3 linked regions of the Mytilus edulis genome follow. The protein of the gene in region 2 interacts with the protein of the main gene of each other region in a pairwise test. Links are inferred from orthologs where the notes say so. Each region holds a gene or a part of one and is shown on either strand. Other genes may lie near its edges.

Evidence for each region.
Region 1: the proteins of phagosome assembly factor 1-like (region 2) and ataxin-3-like interact in binary tests that used the Homo sapiens proteins (3 or more experiments, as listed by UniProt). The link is inferred for Mytilus edulis from reciprocal best matches to the Homo sapiens genes PHAF1 and ATXN3.
Region 3: the proteins of phagosome assembly factor 1-like (region 2) and BCAS3 microtubule associated cell migration factor-like interact in binary tests that used the Homo sapiens proteins (3 or more experiments, as listed by UniProt). The link is inferred for Mytilus edulis from reciprocal best matches to the Homo sapiens genes PHAF1 and BCAS3.

Annotation. Positions count from the first base shown.
Region 1 is NC_092346.1:61,398,148-61,405,579, forward strand, and holds the start of ataxin-3-like, read right to left. Parts: upstream 3,082-7,432; 5' UTR 3,037-3,081; coding exon 3,013-3,036; intron 2,560-3,012; coding exon 2,395-2,559; intron 1,688-2,394; coding exon 1,551-1,687; intron 275-1,550; coding exon 120-274; intron 1-119. UniProt on the Homo sapiens protein: Deubiquitinating enzyme involved in protein homeostasis maintenance, transcription, cytoskeleton regulation, myogenesis and degradation of misfolded chaperone substrates.
Region 2 is NC_092348.1:64,621,995-64,629,116, forward strand, and holds the start of phagosome assembly factor 1-like, read left to right. Parts: upstream 1-4,054; 5' UTR 4,055-4,206; coding exon 4,207-4,270; intron 4,271-7,122. UniProt on the Homo sapiens protein: Plays a regulatory role in autophagic activity. In complex with BCAS3, associates with the autophagosome formation site during both non-selective and selective autophagy.
Region 3 is NC_092349.1:73,482,825-73,490,435, forward strand, and holds the start of BCAS3 microtubule associated cell migration factor-like, read left to right. Parts: upstream 1-4,557; 5' UTR 4,558-4,648; coding exon 4,649-4,716; intron 4,717-5,653; coding exon 5,654-5,708; intron 5,709-7,590; coding exon 7,591-7,611. UniProt on the Homo sapiens protein: Plays a role in angiogenesis. Participates in the regulation of cell polarity and directional endothelial cell migration by mediating both the activation and recruitment of CDC42 and the reorganization of the actin cytoskeleton at the cell leading edge.

The sequences.
Region 1 (7,432 bases), on a different chromosome or scaffold from region 2:
TACATTGTCAATGAATTGATCTATGTTATTACAATAATAAAAAAAAAATTTGTACCAAAGAATTATAAATCATTCTTTATATTTTTAAATCTTTGCCTTCACTTTAAAAAGTTACTTACCTTCTTGTTGTAGTTGTGTTAAGAATAATGATAAATAAGTATCTGATATAAGTTCTGGGCCTGTAAGTAGTGAGTTTAAATTAAACCATTGATAACCAAGTTTTCTTATTGCTAACCAGTGTTCTCGAAAATTGCATATGTAAGCATTCATTTCTCTGCAAAAAAAATAAATATAAAAATATTATTAGTATCAATCTGTCTGATGATGAAAGCTGATTTTATCATCTTCACAATTTATCATGATTTATAGAAAAAAATTATTACAAATAGTGTTGGACACCACAGCAAACTGTTTCAATAATTTACTAGTCTACACATATAAAGAATAAGACAACAATATGCTAGCAACATTAGCTGAATTAATACTAGTACAATATGTACTAAGACATAATCTTTCAATCAGTTTAATTGAGGTCTGGAGCTGGCATGTCAGTTAACTGCTAGTAGTCTGTTGTTATTTTTGTATTATTGTCATTTTATTTATTTTCTTTTGTTACATCTTCTGACATCAGACTGGGACTTCTCTTGAACTGAATTTTAATGTGCGTATTGTTATGCATTTACTTTTCTACATTGGCTAGAGGTATAGGGGGAGGCTTGAGATCTCATCATGTTTAACCCTGCCGCAATTTTGCGCCTGTCCCAAGTCAGGAGCCTCTGGCCTTTGTTAGTCTTGTATGGTTTTTAATTTTAGTTTCTTGTGTATAATTCAGAGTTTAGTATGACGTCCATTATCACTGTACTAGTATACATATTTTTTATGGGGCCAGCTGAAGGACGCCTTCGGGTGCGGGAGTTTCTCGCTACATTGAAGACCAATTGGTGGCCTTTGGTTGTTGTCACTTTGACAGATTCCCCATTTCCTTTCTCAATTTTATGATCAGACTTGTACACTATTCTTCAAAAATATCAATAATGTTTTCTTTACGACCTGACTGGAGATTAGTTAGAATCGTTGAAAATGTAGTTTTTCCTTGTCATTTACTAAAAAATGTCAATATAAATTCATTCATTAGCATTTAAGTCTGTTTATATTTATAATTAAGGTGATGGTATTTCAAGTGTTTTATCATAACTTTTAGTGGGACTCATGTTGCTCAGTCTCTAGTTTCTATGGTGAGTTTTATGTACTGGTGTTTGTCTGTTTGTCTTTTTATTTTCTAGTGAAAGTTTTTATCTTTTTATGTGCATGTTGTAATTTTATGTAATGAATTGATACACCAAATATCAAATTTCTTTGGTTGACCTTTGACATTGAAATCAACAAGATTCTCCCTTTCCAATTTGGATAATGTACAAAATGTATACATATTTCATAAATGTTACTCAGATTAATATGTAGATATATGCAATACATACTATATTGTATCATTCTTTTCTGAAAGCTATCTGCCAACCTTAGATTCTTAACATCATATTATAATTACTCACACAGGGTTAGTCCTAGCTGTTGCAGCAATAGGATCTTGTGAATTATAGGGTAACAGATGTAAACCCCATACTGACAGTCCTTTTTCTATTACTTGTATTGAAAAAAATCCACTGTCATCAAAATTATTGGATGGTTGCTGAAAATTAGATTTAAAACTTTATCTTGAGTACCGGTATACTTCATGTACATGTACATGTATTTTGTATAATTAATCATCATACATGTACATGTACATGTAGTATTATAATACATGTTATAACATTTCTTATCAATTTTCCAGAAATAACAAACTATTTAAGATTTATACAACTCCTTGTTTATAGAAATGAAATAATACATGACACAAGGCTTGCTAAATGTATATATACAAATGTATATCCAAATTGTTCACGTTGTTGGTAAACAGGGAGTGACATACATTTGTACATGTACCATACATGTAGATGATGTTTTATTTATTTCCAGACATTTTAAGGTATCTGCACAGTTATGCAATATCACAAATAACATGACATTCTCTCTAACTATGATCACACTCTCAGTCTCTGTCTCATTCTGCAAACACATCTATATCCTTGGCCTATTCAAATTTTACAAGTTATAACAAAATCTCCATAATTCCCCATTTTTATTAAGCTATATGATTCTTAAGAACATTTCCGCACTTTCTAGACTTCCAGTAAAGTCAATGAGAATAAACATGGTGAAGTACATGTACATGTATATAATGTACAGTATATTAAACAAACAAAAATTTGTAAGCATATTCTTCAACTTAAACTTGACGCACAGAAACAAAAAGAATGAATTTAGTGTGGTAAATACAATATATCATTATTTTACCTCCATAAATCTTTTATATTCTTCAGTTTGTATGCCACCTACTGCCATTTGTTCTCTTTCTGATTCATCTAACTGCTGAGCAATTTCTGCTAAATCTACTGGACTGAAGTACTGTCCTTGTATTAAGGCATTTAGACAGTGTTGTGCACACAGGGAACCCTCTTGCTAAAATTAAAGCATAGGTAACCTATGATTGATCATTACATAATATCGTATACTTACAATTGCAATTTAAGTTTCTGATTGTAATACACTGTACCAAATTTAATAGAAACCCAACAAAAGAGTTACCCCTCTTTGATGATGAAAATTTCATTTAAGTTCTAACACACTTTAAGATTTTCCTAAATTTATGACAGTCAAACGTCAACGAAATAAAAGTACACTGACCAAATATAATTGCTTAAGGTCACTTGAAGATACAGTTAAACTGTAGTATGGCATCAAATCTGGTGATTTTGTCAGTGATGCTGATAGTGATAGACAAAAATGTCACGACTGCGGTCAAAGGACGGTTCAGTTGACCACTCAGACTACCGAATCCTAATGCAAGCAAGTCTGTTTTATGAAATATATCGAGAAAATGTATAAAGTTGTCACTGTAAAGACAACTTTTACCTGTTCATGAAAAATTGTGTCCATTTCAGTCCCGGTGATGAATTTTATTAGGGGAGGTAACTGTTGTCTAATGGTACATCGGACTACCTACCATTTTTTTTAAATAGTGAGAAGAATGCAACGGTCTCCTTTCTTATTATATGAAATCAGTTTGATTTCCAATGAAAATTAAGGGGAAAGATATGATTTACATAATGATAAACATTTCGTTAGAGTAGAGCCAGTTAGATGTTGAAGGTTCAAATATGGCGTCGGCGTCCGGTTTTAGACCCAAATGGGCTAATACTCCGCTTTAATGCGCCTCCGATTGAGGAACACAAAAAATTGTGTGTAAACAAAAAATCTCTGTGTAGTGATATTGAACATATATCTATGTTAACACATGACTGCGCTTAACCATTTGTGTTGATTTGGAAAGAAGAGGACCATAGAATAAATGTGTGAAAAATATAGAGTTATTTAATGTATTCCGTTCAAAGTACTTGTATTACATTTTCAAAGATATTATTGTGTGAAGAAGGAGATATTTTTACCACGATGAGTCGCATCGCGAAAGGATTTTTTGGGTATGCTTATTTACGGGAAAATGAATCACACTTCTTACCCCTTCTAGGAGAGGGTAGGAGGGGTCCTGATCCCGAATCCCGGGCTTAAATACTAGAAATCCCGAGGTCCCGATATTAAATAAATTTAAATCCCGACATCACGAAATTCGAGAAAAGAATTCCCTGATCCCGAAAGGGTCAATCCCGAAATCCGATAAAGGTCCTATCCCCCCTCCTTCAACCACACATGTGAAAATGTCTCAGCTTCGAAAGGAGCCATCATACATATCCAAGTTTGCGATACGGACTGAGCTACAGAAGAAAACGTTACCATTACCGCCTATAGCGAAACAATTGCGCATATTGCCCCAAATATGGTTTCGGCGCTCGCGTCGGCAGGCCCAGCTTTGGCGTCGGCGTCCAACGCTAAAGATAAATTCTAATTGTAGCTTGCTCGGTATGCCGTCTGGACGATATTTTGAAAGTGACAGTGTTTGCTACAAGTTGAACCTTTTACGGATGTTTCAACACTGAACTTTTTGGTTCATGAATATACTACGAGGTTTATATCCATTTGCTAGTAGATTTTTTTGTTGTTGTTAAATTTTTGTTGTTGATTTAACTTTACATAAAAATTGTATAGTCACCTATCTGTAATCGCTGTGAACGTTAACTTGAACTTTACATGCATGCAACTGAAGTGTGAAAAGGTAACCTAGTTCTCGTGAATGCAACGTTACTCGACTTCAGAACCCGGCATGTCTTAGTATCCAAAGAGGTAGTCTATAGGGTGAACTTTCAATATAAGTTAATAACACGTAAAATTTAGATTAGAGTGGTGTGTGATCGGCTGCCAGATATGATCTGATATGATCCCATTAGGTCATGCGAATATTTAGACAATAATTCAAAGTAGCTAATGCATGTCATGTATCCTTGAACTTGTTTTTATGTTATCTTTAATACAACTTTGCTTAAAGCATGCGAACATGATAGAACATATGAACGTCGACCAGTTTCTGGTCACCTTGCATTCCTTTCACTTGTTCTGATATATATCCCAGGGGCGGATCCAGAGTTTTGGAAAGGGGGGCGGAAGTGTCAAAGCTTTTGGGACCTTTTTGGGCTAAAAAACATAAAATAAGTGTCAGTATATGTACTATTTAAACGGTTTGCTGGCGTGGGGCATGTATTTTTTTTTTTTATAGTTGCTGTAAAGTGTAAGGGTTGGAAATTTTTGATGCTGTTTTCTCTCTATTAATTGTCTATCATATAATGATAGTATGGATCCAAAGCTATGTACTGATATATTTGATGTGGGATTTGTCAGTAAAAAATAGACATGGAAATTCTCGCCGGTTTGTTGCAAGTTAAGTTGTCATAACCTCACAGATTTCTTCTTGTAAACAAGATATACGCCGGGCTATTCGATGAAATTTACAATACGGCCGACACGAGTTAAAAGGACAAACATGCAGTTTTTATCCAAATGTTTGGTTGATATGTTTCACTCAACAAAACTAAGGAAAGTGAGGGGTTCCAAATCAACCAAAGGCTACGAAAGAGTCTGAAATGACAACGAATTTATGAATAACGGTCGACAAATGGAGACATAAAGGCCACACCCAGCAGGCAGGTTACAGTCTGGTCTTGAAAAAAGTATTCAATATATAAGTCCGGCGAAACAGACATTCAGGTCAGACATGCAAACCTCGGCCACAAAAAAAATACGCCCGTTTTTATTCATCATGTTCATTTAATGCTAAATAATTTTGTTGGCTAATAGCAAAAAAAGTGGACAAGACTATTGTTTCAATCCAGATACGGCCAGAACTGAGTTTTTCTTAAGGCAAGAATCAGAGTCAAATTTTTTTTCTCTCAAATATCTCTGACTGACACCTCAAATAAAATGGTTTGTACCTGAGACTTGAAATATTTCTAGAGCTTATAAATACTGACTGGGGATCATTATTCAATTTGTTATTTATAAAAATAGGTTGGGGCATTTGGGGTTAAACATGTTTTCGTAGGTAAATAATATGGTGGAACATTTTCTCATGAGAGTGTATTAGTCTATAGAGTATTTACTATTACTTTCTGTTTGGTGGAATAGTGAAATAGAAGTAAATACGTTCTTGCTCAATCCTGTTTCGCTATAAAGGTTTCATGATTGTCATGACATCCTCAGCCTAAGTAATGTGTTACTGTAATTTGAATTTCAAAATGACCGAGTGACATTTTTTCAATGCACTGGTCACCTCCACCATAGCAAATCACATGACTTTGACAATCAGTTAATATTCAGCTAAAATATCTTTATAAGTAAAGAATTGTCGTATTTATAAAAATTAAATACACGGGAAATGGCAAAGTTCACGAAGTCTAGTCTGATTAATCATTTTACAAAAAAAAAAAAAAAAAAGTCCGAGCAAAAGGGGGGGGGGGGCGGGGGCGTACGCCCTCTACTCCCCCCCTCTGAATCCGCCACTGTATCCTTAATTGTCGCTGTCATGAAATTATGACAACCCATATGTATCTAATTTGTTTTGCTCTCCACACAACACATTAATTCTTTATAAAATGAACAATATATATGTGCCTGTCCCAAGTCAGGAGCCTGTAATTCAGTGGTTGTCGTTTGTTTATGTGTTACATATTTGTTTTTCGTTCATTTTTTTTATATAGAGGCTGTTAGTTTTCTCGTTTGCATTGTTTTACATTGTCATTTCGAGGTCTTTTATAGCTGACTATGCGGTATGGGCTATGCTCATTGTTGAATGCCGTACGGTGACCTATAGTTGTTAATTTCTGTGTCATTTTGGTCTCTTGCATGTGGAGAGAGTTGTCTCCGTGATTGGCAATCATACCACATCTCCTTTCTTATAAACAAGAAAAAAAGAAAAAAAAAAACTATTGCAGCAAATATGAATAAAGATGGGTGAAGGGTAAACGTCAATACAACAGCAACTAACACCACTGACAGAAATAACAAGACTTAATATTTCAAACTCTGAGTCTATCGATTTGTGAATAAATCTGCAATTAGGGAGCCTGCATTCTTTGCGGCCTACACTGGCTGAGACGGATTGAGGATTTTTGAAAGGGGAACTTGATTCAAGAGAACTGAATATATACCGCTGAGCGGAGCTTGTCGAAAAATTCTTTGGACGACTTTATGCTAAAAAATATATGTTTTTCAGTCATAAGGGGGGGAGGGCAGGGCCGTAACTAGGGTTTTAATTCAGGGGAGGCAGGGGTTTGGAGGCCGCCGATTGAGGCCCTCAAGATCAGGGGTTCGGGGGCGCAGCCCCCGCCGATTTTTTTCTCTCGGTAAAATGGCTAAAAATGACCTTTTCCTTCGATTTCCTCACTTTAGGAAACATCAGTATTGTTGAAACGTGAAGCAATTTTTATGTAAAAACAAGCTGAGGTTGCTGTTCGGAGTGAGCGAAGGCTTCGTCCTGAAGGTCGTACTTTGGCCTATAAATATTAAAATTAAATACATCGTGACCGCAGATTTTTTGGTTTTCTCTCGATAAAATCAGTGGCTTAAAATGACCTGTTTTCCTTCGATTTCCATCAGTATTGTTGGATCCTGGAAGCAATTTTTATGCAAACAATTATTATCTGTATTTAAAGATTATTTTGTTAGAAATCAAACTGGTAAGTTAAAAAACATATAAAGCAAGATCAAAGAACACAAGATATTCTTTTTATCGGGGACCATGAATATCAATTTTGTTGAAAGCTGAACAGACATGTATATAACTACAACCAGATAATATTTATATACGTCTAGTATATACTTAGTATTAAAAGTCCCTGCTACAACGAATGGGAGTATTAAACTACTAAGGCATTGACCATAATGACAT
Region 2 (7,122 bases):
TATGTTTGTGTTTTCTTCATCTCCAATAAGATTTGTGCTATTTAGGACTACAATTACATTAATTGGCGAATTTCAATCAGCTTCACTGTTGACAAACTTTGAGGGAAGGGTTATAATTGAAAGTCACATTTTTTTTGTTTTAAAAACAGAAACTATCATTTCCCTCGTAAAAATTGGCGTGGCACTCCTCCCACGAAAAAAATATTTGTATCATACTTTTTTCCATTTTCTTCTGTAATTGCTCAAACACTCTTTAAATCAGGCATGCTGTTAATATTTCATATCCCTTTAAGCATTTTTCTGCAAAGATATGACCCGGGCTTTATAATTTGATTCCCATGATGATTCATCTCAATAGATGTGTTGCAAAATTAAATTTTCTATGAGTAGTATATATGCCGAAAGTATGATATACCAGAGATGACGATGCAATATACTTTTGCCTAAAATAAACGATTAGCATAAATTATTTACTCTATTGACACTATAAACGACAGCTAAAAATTCTGACGAATGCTGCTTCAAATTTTAGGCTATTTTAACAATTAAAGCTATTCCTTCCCTCATATTAATGTGTGCTTATCGATAAGGAATTGATGGATAATTTATATCTCTTATTCACGTGCACTGCAACTCCTGTATGCCTTAATGCAACTATAAAACTTTTCACACAATGAGCTTCACTTGTATGTTTATGACATCTTGTGAATCAGTGATCTGCATTCCATATATAAATGGTTGAGTTTTGAAGATCTTGATCTTATTCACCTTTTAAAGATTACTTTTAACAAATTTGGAACCGACTCCACTTTCTGTAAAACTTTTTGTGCGAATGCCGATAATTTTTGAACGTTTGGGGTTAACCTGAACTTATTTACGCGATGATTGAAGCAAGGAATCTGCAAATTTGTTGGAGTATGTTGGATTAACTTTTAGATGGTGACGATAAATTAGTGTTAATGGTCCAATGGCAACTTTTTCATGTCCGGACGAAAAGGTGTCGATATATATATCATTTTATATGAACCATGTTATGTATCATACAGACACGCTGAGTCGGATTTGTAGTCCTAGCTAATAGATCACAGGAAGACATGCTCTACCCAAACACATTATTCTGACTTAAAAAATTTGCTCTAACTTCTCGAGTGTGATTCTTTTGCTAGACTTTTTGCTTTCATGTTCCAACAACCATAATCCCACATCTCTTAGTTTAAAACGAAATGAAATTGTATATACAACAATTTTATATTTAACAAACCTGGTAAACTTTTAAAAGAATATTTTTATTTCGAAAAAGATACAATAGAATGTGTTAACAATTATAAGTATTTAGGTTTAAAATTTATATCTAGTGGACTTTTTAAGCAAGGAAAGGAAGAATTATACAAAAAATCAGTAAAAGCTGTATTCAAATTACAAAGATCTTAATCATCTTCCAATCCAAGTATTTCTACTCTATTACATATATATGACCATACAATAAAAAACATTTTAATGTATGGCAGTGAAATTACAGGTATGTTTAAAACTAGCTCTGCAGCATGCCAGAAAGAAAGTGAATATTTATTACAGCATATTTATATGAATTATTTTTTAGATAAATCCAATTTAAGATATATGAAGTATATATTAGGTGTAAACAAAAAGTCTTCTAACCTAGCTGTGCTAGAAGAGCTTGGTAGATTCCCTTTATATTTTTCAGTTGTATTATCAATGCTAAAATATTGGTTTAGAATAAGAATATGAAAGATGGTTTACTGTATGATACCTATATGTGTAACAAAAACATGTTTAATAATAATATTGAATGCTGGTATTTTTAAAAAGCTGAATATTCATAATTTGGAGGTGAAGCTCTTCTTTTTTATCAAGTCAGTTAAGCAAAAACTTTGTAAAAGTTTTGTAAAAGTTAGGAACACAAAAAGAACAGAATGAGATACACAGAGTAGTAAATTAGATACTTATTTCAAACTTAAAACTTGTTTTTCGAAAGAAATGTATCTATCTTTAAACAATTTTCAATTGAGAAGTGCCATATGTAAAATTAGAATCAGTGCACATGATCTCAAAATAGAAAGAGACAGGTATAAAACATTATAGGCTTTGTAAGAAGTGTACTCTAAATCTGGTTGAAGATGAACAACATTTTATAACTAGTTGTTCAGCTAGCATACAAAAACGATAGGGAGATATTTTTCAAGGAGATAAACTGTATTTGTCCTAATTTTATACATCTTTCAAATGAGGCAAAATTTGTTTGGTTATTTACTAATAAAAATTTGTCTGTACTTAGATATTTAGGGAGCTATATTATTACATGTCTAGATGTTAAAGGAAATGTTAATTAATGTATGTGTAATAACAATGATAAGTGTAATGATTTTATGGTTCTGATCCTGTCTGGAATTAAATGTATATGATTTTCTACATAATTTACTAACAGATTTTCATGGCTAAGAAGAAGAAGGTATTGGCCACAGAGCGAGGAAATGGAAAAAGAAACCCCTTTCAAGAGCAGTTCGTCTGACAAGTCATGTCTAAATAATGTCTGAATATAAACGATGTTCCTATAAGACAAGAATGTCGAGACATCTGAAATAGATGTAACTAAACTAACAGCACGTGCGAATAGCTACAGAGGAAGACATTCTTGTTGGTCGATCATATCTCGAAAATGAAAACGAAAAAAATAATTTGTCTGACCATAACCCGTGTTCGTAATCTTTATGGCTAAAGAAATGGTTGCTAGATTTAGAAGAAGTGTTCCTTTAATAAAGAAAGTTAACAGCTAGGTATGACTGGTGCAAGAAAAGGACTGAATTATCTTCACCCATATCTATATATATTTGGAAACCTTCAAAGGAAGTGCAGCTGGCAGTATGGTACTAAATCCGAATGTTATATCAGCAAATTTTAAAAGGCTTGGTGATCTGAGTGAATAAAATAGGCATTCAGAATACACTTAAACGCATCTTTAATACTGATGAGACCGATATGAATATAATCTATGAGGTGTGGATTTAGTCAAATTTAAGGAGCTCCTGAATTATTGCATAATCACTATAGAAACGGCAATGTAATCACACAATCATTTAAAACCCCACGAAGAGGCTAAGGCTCAGATTCAAAATTATTTCCTAACACGATAACACATTGTAAAAGTTAAGAATATCCTCCGAGACAGAATTGTTGAGGTCCTGAAATTACTGTGAATAAAAAATTACGGAAATAGAAAACTAAAAGTTTCCTATAAAAAAAATTCCCGCAAGACATGGCAGAGTTCAGTACATTACAGATGTGTGTAGACACCTGTCTGTAGTTTTTAAAATACTGCATGTGGTCATATAAATCATGATGAATGCGCCTTGTTTCTTATTTTTTTGTAGTTGGGTCGCTGTCTCATTGATGTATACTCAGCACATCCCTTTACTTATATTGAAAGATCGTAAGTCCTTGGTGAGGGTTACATTCGTAGCTTAAATAATCATTGAAGATACATGATTAATATGTCCGGCCATTTAGATTGACCTGACCAAGGATTTACTCTTTGGATTGACCAATTAGATATTTAATGTTAAACTCAACTGGTTCATCACCTCGACCTGTGAGGCCCCTCATGGGGGGTCCTAGTAATCACATAATCACCATTTTTTTGCCAATATAATCACATAATCATTAAATATTTGCTTATCTTTAGTAATCAAATAATCATAAACTAAAAATACAGTCCTAGGTAATCAAATAATCATGAAATATTTGGCTTAATAATCAAATAATCATTAAAAAAACGGCCAAGTAATCACATAATCAAAAACCCCATGAGGGCCCTCACCTGTCAACTATCAGGGTGCACTCTAATAATTTTTTAAATAGTCACTTGTTGAAAGAAAAAGAAACAAGACCAGGGGGTCTATCTTCCAAGTGCGTATGTGTACCCATGCAAGACATGCAAGTAGTATTTACTTTACAAATCCTTTATACTTAGGTGTCTTAGGTGTGATAAATTATGTATATTTCAGGTTATTTGAATTTGGCGCTAAATTAAAGATGCATTGCGCAGGTTGAATAAACCAAAACAAAAATGGCGATATCATAATGACAACAAACCAGAATCAACAGTCTAAAAATGTCTATAGAATTTTATAACGTTTCATTATAAAACCTTTATCTTAATGCCGATAGAAACAATAACTTTAAATTACCATGCTCGATCTAGAAGTAGTCCCGGAAAGGTCACTTGGAAACGAGCAATGGGAATTTATTCTTGGTGAGTATGACGATGTCATCTTTTTACAAGTCATTATGTCAGATTTCATCTGAAACTACAAATAAAAAAAACCCAAAAGAGATCAATGATATCAAAATTCATAGTGCTGATATCTGTAAATAAATTATTTCTATCGTTTCGTAATTTATAATGGACATCGATCGTCACACAAAAATAAAAATAAATAACAACGGTGAAGGTCGAATGTCACAAAACAGCTGATCACTATTGGATAAAAAAATACATGTAGGAACAAGACAATAAATAACAAAATTTGGGAATCATAGACTCAAGATTTCATTTAACTGTTCTACATTTAATTGCCAAACCTTTTAAGTTAATTATTGATCTTTATTTTGATAGACAAAAGACTTGAATCTGAGATTGATCGACCAAAATCTTGTCCGATCCCATTCTCATTTGCTCTCTTATTTAAACAACAACCCAATCAAAGAGTAAAAAACAGAGCTGAAGGCCACTAGTGGTGTTCTGATGATCGGAATAAGTCGTAAATCAGTTGGTTGGGCCTTGCGATGTCGATAATCGATTGGGATTTTGTTCAATCGAATGTCTTTACAGTTTCCGGACTTTTAGCATATCAACTTCCGGTCCGTTTCTGGTTTGCATTTTACATGCGCAGTCAAACAAATGAAACGAAATATATCAGTTGATGACGATAACAATGTCAAACATCCTATAATCAAAGACACAATCAATTGCTTTCTTTATAAACGTGATAAAAGCATTGACTATACAAATTGATCGTATGCTATTTAATATAAATAACTTTTTACGAAACACTTTCTTTCAATTCCGGTACTTGTTACTGAGAGCGAACATGAAATCATTCTGATTTTGGGCAAAATAGTTTTTTAGGCAGTTAAGCTGCCTTATGCGAGCGCCCTGGATTTGTGTGCTACCCAATAAATGCTGAAATACGTGCCATTGTTATCATCTAGCTGGCTACTATATTATTCATAACTTATTGGACAGTTTTTTCATACTTTTCATTCTGGATTACAAAAAATATGACCAGAAAAACCTTAAGTGATCGTCGATTTTCCCAAAAGTTTTGAAGTTGCACATAGGAAGTAGAGCACATTAGGAATCCTTATGTAGTTTATTATCCCCTGAGCTTTTGGCTAAGATGTCAAAGAACAAATGTATGAAATATTTAATCGCCGAAAATCTCTAAAGACAAGTAGTTAAGATTTCCCAAATTACAAAAGTCGTAGGAATATTGTTTGTCGTCAATACGTAGTCAACTACGTATATATACGTCAGTAGTCTATTAATATAAGTTCAACTGATCACACTGTTAGCGGCAATTTTGAATTAATAGAAGACGAAATTTTCGTATCTTATCAATTTTGACGCAGGGGTTCAAATTAGCGGTGGTGTGAGGTCTGCGACCTTCCACTTTTGCAGTCGGACTTTCTACTTGGTTACTAGCTACGCCCGACGGACCTTGAAAGAAAATAAAAAAAATAACTTTGCAAATATTTTTACCGAAGTTTCCTAATAAACGATCTCAAACTTATTTTCATCATTACCATTCATGACAGCGATGTTCAATTTGTTCAACCGCTAGCTTTATACAGAAAATCGCCGATAAATAATGTGTGTAAATCCGAGTAAAATCGTATCTCACTATCTGTCAAAAACAACATTGAAAACAAAATGGCTGCCGCGAGATTACAATATCAGATCCGATTCCGGAAGCGGATAAGGGTAATCCCAGGTTTTGGCTATCAGCTAAAAAAATCCAGACAGGTGACAAAATACATCTATGCCTGGTAAATAAATATAAACCCTAGAATTTAAAACCAAAAGATATATGTAAAAGAAAGAAAAAGCAGAAAATATTTTGTACACCAATGCAATTTTAATGTCAAAATCCAATACAATGTGACAGCTGGGAACAGTTTATCTAACAATATATATGTTCCTGGTAGCAGTATAATTTTTTTTATCAGTGATAAATGTTGGTAATGAATGTTAAATGCTTTTCAAGTTAAACATATTACTGCAATTTCAAGGGGTATTTTTTTCTTCTCAATTTTGATAGGTCAGTTAAAATAGCTGGATCGAAGTTTCTTATATAAAAAAAAAAAGATGTGGTATGATTGCCAATGAGACAACTATCCACAAGAGACCAAAATGACAAAAACTTGGTAATGGTCAAGATCCCCACCCCTAAACCATATATATTCATGTATGGGACAAAATAACAAATCATATGAAATATAGGTGGAGTTCGTTGGGCCACTCTAACTACCCCTTTCTGTTTGAGAATTTATAACGGTCGAGATCCACAATCTTAAACAATATATATTTATGTATGGGACAATATTACAAATCAAATGAATTATTAGGGGGTCACTGTACACCCTCCTGTTTGAGAACTTGGAAAAATTCGAGATCATCACCCCTTAACCATATAAATGATATATACTCATGTATAAGACTATATAACAAATCAAATGAAATATAGGGGAAGTCCCTGTGGTCCCCCTACCCCTCATATTTAAGAACTTTGAAACAGTTGGGATCCCCAACTCTAAATTAAATGAAATATAGGGGGAGTCCCTGCAGTCACCTGATTGAGAAATTCGAAACAGTCGAGATCCCCACCTTTAAATTAAACCATATATATTCATGTATGAGAACTAATCAAATGAAATATAGGGAGAGTCCTTAGGGTCACCCTACCCACTCCTGTTTGATAACTTAGAAACAGATGAGATCCCCACCCCTCAATCATACATATTCATGTATTGGACAATATAACAAATTAAATGAAATATAGGGGAAGTCACTGGGGTCCCCCTCCCCCTCCTGTTTGAAAACTT
Region 3 (7,611 bases), on a different chromosome or scaffold from region 2:
GTGTTTCTGATCGCGTTGGTCGCGGCAAGTGTAAATTCGCCGATAAGTCTTTTTTGTATATGTCGCAATTATTTTTAATCCTGTTATTTATGATGATTTTACTGAGAAAATTACAGTCGTATATGGTTTGAGTAAGTGGAACATATCCGTGGTTATATCTGGCACAAATATTTCAATATGCATGTTATGCATGTTATGGTGAATCAAATATTGAATGCGTCTGTTAAACTTTCAAAGGATGTCTAAACTTTACCATTAGGTTCTCAGAAGCCCTGGAATACTAAAAAACTTGGACGTATATACATAGGAAACAGGCACTGTTGATATTTTGCTACGCCGAAATTGAACGCTTACTCGTTACGACACACTAGATGATTTCAATTTAATCACTGTCGCAATGTGAAAATTGAAATCATCTCGTGTTTCGTTATGCTTAGGCACACCTGAATTATAACTTTATTTACGGTATAAGTCAAAATATGAAGATAAACTAGAGAATGGAAATGGGGAATGTGTCAAAGAGACAACAACCCGACCATATAACAGACAACAGCAGAAGGTCACCAACAGGTCTTCAATGAAGCGAGAAATTCCCGCACTTTACACAAGTATTCCACATTCCAAACTAAAAGACAAATTGAAAGAGTTGGTATTACTTTGCTTCATAAAAAAGAATGGCCAACGTAGATACAAGTATCTTGTCTTAGGGAGGGATAAATCATACTTTGTAAAGAATCACTCTGATTCAAACAAAAAATTCTCTCTGAAACCGATATTATCAAGATGCTTGATTTCTTGATTGACAACATATTTGTAACGTTCGGAGAACGTGTTTTTCAACAGACTGTCGGCATCCCAATGGGAACAAACTTTGCCCCTCTACTTGCCGACTTGTTTTTTTATTATTATGAGGCTGACTTCGTGCAGAAACTTCTTAGGAAGAAAGATAGGAAGTTAGCAATATCCTTTAACTCTACTTTCCGCTATATAGATGACGTTAAAACGGTTCTTTCACTAAACAATTCAAAATTTGGTGACTATGTGGAACGCATCTATCCCATCGAATTGGAGATAAAGGATACTACAGATACAGTTAAGTCGGCTTCATATCTTGACTTACATCTAGAAATTGACAATGAGGGTCGGTTGAAAACAAAACTTTACGACAAAAGAGATGATTTCAGCTTTCCAATTGTGAACTTTCCATTTCTAAGTAGCAACATTCCAGCAGCACCTGCATACGGGGTATATATCTCCCAATTGATACGATATTCCCGTGCTTGCATTTCCTATCATGATTTTCTTGATAGAGGGTTACTGCTCACAAGGAAGCTATTAAATCAAGAGTTCCAAATGGTGAAGTTGAAATCATCCCTTCGTAAATTTTACGGACGCCATCACGCGTTGATTGACCGTTATGGAATAACCGTTTCACAAATGATATCGGATATGTTCCTTACGTCGTAACTACAATCCCCTTCCCTTTCATGAATGTGACCTACCGAATAAGACTATTTACCGGATTTGTAATCACATAAGCAACACGACGGGTGCCACATGTGGAGCAGGATCTGCTCACCCTTCCGGAGCACCTGAGATCACCCCTAATTTTTGGTGGGGTTCGTGTTGTTTATTCTTTAGTTTTCTATGTTGTGTCATGTGTACTATTGTTTTTCTGTTTGTCTTTTTCATTTTTAGCCATGGCGTTGTCAGTTTGTTTTAGATTTATGAGTTTGACTGTCCCTTTGGTATCTTTCGTCCCTCTTTTACTCAATCTGTGGTACCATGTATTTCATGTTTCATGAGTAAGCGTTCAACATAATCACACAATTTTGCATTATTTGTTGAGAGGAAATCTTCTGTACAAAGCGGGAAGTTTTTGTTACTTTTAGACTCGTTATAATAAGGGATTGGGACTATTTGTTGAAAACACTTAAATTAAACGTAACCATTATAATTCGTCTTAACTCAAACGAACATTCGCTTTATATTGAATGTTTGTCTCATTGGCAATCATACAACATCTTATTTTTATATTATATATTTATCATTAGATATTTTTAAAAAAAAAAGCGGATTTCAAGTACAATCATATGCAGCTAGTAGGCCTACTCCGAGGAAAGAATTATAGTTTAATGAATTATTTACATTTTGATTTTGTGGAAATGATAAGCCTCCGTCAATGTTGGTATCTATGTGTCCAAGTTTATAATGGTGTAACTTTAGTGTTTGGCTAGCCACAAAACCAGGTTCAACCCACTATTTTTTTCTTAAATGTAACAAGTCAGGAAAATTGCAGTTGTTATCTTATAGGTCGCTTCTGTCTGTGTTGCATTGTCTTTTTTTTTTTCACTTCAGTGTTTCTGTTGTTTCGTTGTTTTCCTCTTATAGTGTTGTTTTCCTCGGTTTTAGTTTGTAAAACCTATTTGTTTTCTCTCAATCGATTTTTTTTACCTTCGATTAGCGGTATGCTACTGTTTTCTTTATTTGCATACATCTGTTGAAATTTTCTTATTTCCTAACTTACCTACTTACTTAATTAATTACTACCCTATGCGCCATTTCTTGTAGTAGTGTGTCTGGTAGAGTTGAATAGCCTTTGCCTCTACAGTTCTCCAAATTTTATTTATGGTCTTGCTTTCGTTCTTTTAAAAACAAATTGCACAGTCGAGTGCTGTTGAAGTGGTATTCTCTTTCTCTTTCCGTATGACATGTCTGATCCAGCATCTTCACATTATAGTTCTAAATTCTGGTTGGTATCTGATTAGAGTGTTATGGTTTGAAATTTGTTTGTGGCCAGAAGATTCAAAGAATCCTTCTGAAGCTTTCTGATATAGAATACAGGCCGCTTGTTTTGATCGTAATTTGTCATCCTCCATAATTCAGCGGCAAACAAAAGTACAACAACAATGGCGGATCCAGGGGGAGGGTTCCGGGGGTTGGAACTCCCCCCTTTTTTTTTTAAATGGCTAGATTCGCCCCTGAACAAGACTTAATGCTGTAAAGTTTGTGTATGGTTCGCATAGAATATTGTTTATCTCAGTTCAGCCTGTAGATTGTTAAAAGCTGCCATTGTCTTATATAGGCGTCTTTTGATGGCAGGTTCTGCTCCTCCATTGGTAGAAAGTGATACTAAGTTATATGAAAGTGTGAACATGCAGTAATGTTCTACATCCATTTTACAGACCCTGAGTTGTTTAAACCTAGCGTCATGATACTAGTTTTCTTTATATTGATTCGAATCCAATTTGTTCTATATATGTTTTGTGTGTGAAACATTGATGCTAAATAAGCAAAATCTATAGTAATGGTTGTCATGATCTTACTTTGGATGGAAAATACTGTAGTGCCTCGCCAGTTGTTACAATCATTAAGTGTTATGATACTTATGTCTGTCACATGGCATCAGATCTTTCTTCTCGATGTTTTTTTAAAGATGTTTTAGAGCAGAGTGGTAGATAACATTGATAAGTCCCATTCCCAAAGAGTTCGGCATTCAGATTGTCATTTTCATATGATTTTCCATTTTTTTACTTTTATTTGCAGACTTCATCTAATGCTTTTCGTGTGGTTTTATGTTGATTTCTATTCCATTATTATTCTCTTTCATAATAGGGCGTTCAGAAGATTTAGTAGCTCAATGAAATGGTCTGTTAACAAATTCACTTTATTATTTATTGAAGGAGGCTTTGAAACTTTATTTAACATAGCTACTGCTTCACTGAATACGCACATTCTCCATGTTCAATTTATGACAATATATCGAAAATGGTTTAAACAATAAAACCTGAGTAGTGATATTATCATGACAAATCTCATATTCAAGTAGTTTGCCCATTTCAGCAAATATTGGCAATTTAAAAAATCAAAACCATTAGTTTAATCAGACAAAAACTGTTTATAAAACATTAACACCAATAGTTGGAGTACTGCTAAAAGTTAATGTATGGATTATCAAGTGTTATCAAGATTTAGTGTAAAAAAAAAAGTAAAAATCCCTCATTTACCATATTGAGACGGTATTGAGGATACATCGTGTTCATGAACAGTGTAGTATTTTTAGGTGATATCTAAACTTTAGATTGCATGTGTTATTTTCTTCTTTTTTTCCAATTTAATATTCGTGAAAACCTCAAAAAGCTTTGATCTATATTTGTTTGATCTTAATTGCTTTACTCTTTCGGTTGCAGTCTTGTAATTGACTGCTCCATAGGCTTACATGTTAAACAGCAGATCTTTGAAATAAAAAATAAAAAAATGCTACATAGAAAAAAAATTTCATGTTCACATCATGTATGTGAATTTTTTTAAGTCTATTTACCTATATGTTTCAATTCAGCATAAACCTATAATCAAACAGAAAAAATTGAGTTCAGAAAAAAATGCATAAACAAATACACTTTTTTGTTTCCCTCCATGTTTTGGAAACTGGAGATGTAATACAAGACTGGTACCTTTCCAGTCACAAATTAAAGTTTTCGGTTTCTTATCCTTTCCGGATCTTTCTCATGTTTATGACGGTTAATTGTTTAAAATTTATTCGTCCAGGAAACGGAAATCTGCAACTTTACTTCGCGGACAGGTCAAAACAAAGCTGACGTCATTTCTGCAACAAGTACATTTGTTTACATTTGTAAAAATTGAAAGAATGTCCGCAGAATCGCCCCGAAAGCACCTTAAATTTGTAAATAATGTTGTTAGACCACAGGGATTCAGGTAAATTTCCATTACATAGCAAGATTATAACATGCATGTACCAGATAATTTGGGACCACTTTATTATGTCAAAGCCAGAAGGATACTGAGCCAGAAATGGGATATGATCGCCAATTTGGATACACAACTGGACCCATGGATCTGCAGGATGAAATTAATCAATAATATATTTCATGAAAATATCTCAATTGGGAAATGAATTAGAATAAATTTCTCAAGCTTGAACTGTTTCGTCCTGATCTTTGAATACACCTTATTGCGATTACCTGATTACTTTTTCGGAACCACAACAGTTACGCAAAATTTTGACATCACAAGAGAAAATGTCTGAAGTACTAAAATGAAAGTGTATCGTTGTATTGGGGTTCCAAACTTGGATCCTGCTTATAATTTGAACAGAATCCCATATTCGCTTCTCTCGTTGCCATTGCAGTGCATGTAATTGCCTGTGTCCCGCCCTTTGTTTCCCATTTTCATGCTTAATTATTAAAGTTGTGCCTGTCGAGCTTAAAATAAACAGTCATGACGGTAAACCTGTACCCATATTAATATACTGGCCTAGTACAAATGGTAATGATATCTTTCAGGCTGTTTGAATTTTAGCTGTGATGTCGTAGGAAACTGTACATATGACTGAATTTTATTAATAGAATTTTAAGACGCTATAACAATTTGGCCTAATTAGTAATATAGGTCCTGCAATACTCTAGGTTTATGAAAAATTAAGGAATATCTTGCACAGCATATTTGTCTCACTAATGACCAAGGAAACATTGTATTGTTCCATTTGTTGAAGACTCAATCACATCTCTTTTCTAGAATTTCATCAGTTTTAAAAATTCTAAATAAAATATCTACTGGATTTTACCTTTAATGGTTTATGCAAGTAAATGTGTATATATATATACATCATGTGCATGCTTACTTTATTTTTCAGTGACAAAACGGTTATGGAAAACGTAGTTGATTTCATATCAGATGTTGTACCACAGGTGAGCAAAAGATGTATTTACACTTTTAAGCAAAGGAGTAGGTCCGGTAAGGGCAGATTTTGGCCTCAAATTTGAATGAATGAATGAATTTTATTTCTCATAAACTACAAATTACATAGTTACAGAGAATATATAAACAATTACATTAAATATTGAAGCACATGTGAACAATACAAACATAAACATTACATTACAAACTAACCAGGAGGAGTGACCCTCACATTTATAATTTTTATAAATCTACCAAGTTTTTCAAGAACAATATAATTATTATAGCTCATTAATTGTTGATATTTATAAATATTTGGACGAAGAGTACAATAGTCATGATAGTATGGTATCAACCTCTTTCTTTCTTGAGTTAGAACATTACATGACATAACATAATGAAATTCATCACCTACGTCTCTTGATTCGCAATTTAAGATGGCACAACCTATCATTTCTTGATATGTTATTCCACCTGATTCAATTAGTTTATGTGAAAGATTCTAACTGATTAAGTCATTAAAAACGCTCTGATTCAAGCTTATATATGAAAAATATATCAAATATGCAAAAAATCGTCACTTTTCAGATGGTTTTTGTCAAAAATGAAAGTGGCCGCATCCTTGTTCATCCTCAACCTTTATCATGTTTATATATGTTATGTATTATCATCAAATACAACTTACATTTCAATATTTTGAATGAACAAGAATGCAGCCACTTTCATTTAAGACGTAAACTGTCTAAAATTTAACTAGAATGCTAAAATTGTGAAGATTTCAGTAATTTAGCATGACTTAATGATGTTAGTACGTGATATATGTGCATTGTATTGTCAAAAACAGGCCATATTTGTGTAGCAGAAGCATTCTTCTTTCCAATTAATAGCTAAAAGATTAAATTTTCACAATTTTGTAAAACTGCTATATTTTGGGGCCAAAAAGAGGTCTTACTGAACCTCCTCCTTTGTCTGCCATTTAATACATGTATGTAAGATCACACAAGTTCCAGTAATCTTTGATATCACAATTGAAAAATGTTTACCTCACAATGAAAAAAAAATGATTGTTGCATGATGTCAGAAGGTTAATCGGAGCAGATCTCAGGTCATTTGAAGACAAAATTCAGTTACAATTAACTGTACATGCAAATAACTATAGTGTATATATGTTTATAGTCTTTTAGACCCTTCTACAACGAAATTTGTTTTACATGCACAAGTATAAAAATTGCGGTTTTTATCCAAAGCAATCATAGGTTTGAACGTAGTTTTCAATTTAGACTTGTTTATGTTTATAGACATACATTCATACAATGATTATATAATTATTTGTACTTATATGCAAATTTGTATGCCATAATTACAGTCAAACACGTTTCCGTAAAACTAGATGAGCGCCCCCCCTCAGGTCAAAATGAAAATTGATATAATTTTTTTAAATATAGATGTAACTTATGTAGTTAAGATAAAAAAAATCAATTTTGTATTAAATACATGTAAAAACCAATTGTGTTTGATAATGTTGATAGAAAGAAAACTAAACAATAGAATTTTAATAAATTTTATTCAATAAAATATGAAAATTGTCTATTTCTATCCAAAAACATTATGTTAAATACATTAGTAGAGCATACATGCATAGGGGTGATTTTTAAAGCAGGAAGGAAAAAAGATCATTCATACTTCATTGAACTTGATGATGTTAGAACAACTTCAGTCATGAAATTATGAGTTGTGCTTATAATAAGTTCTAAATATAAAAAATAAAAAAGATTTTTTTGTTGGATTTCCTGCCATCAGACTATAAAATGCAATTATGTTTTGTACAGTGTTCATTTAATATGAATATAGTAACATAGCTATGGTTGTTTCAGTCCTTTTTCTTAATTTCAGGCCTATAGTGGAAACCAAAAA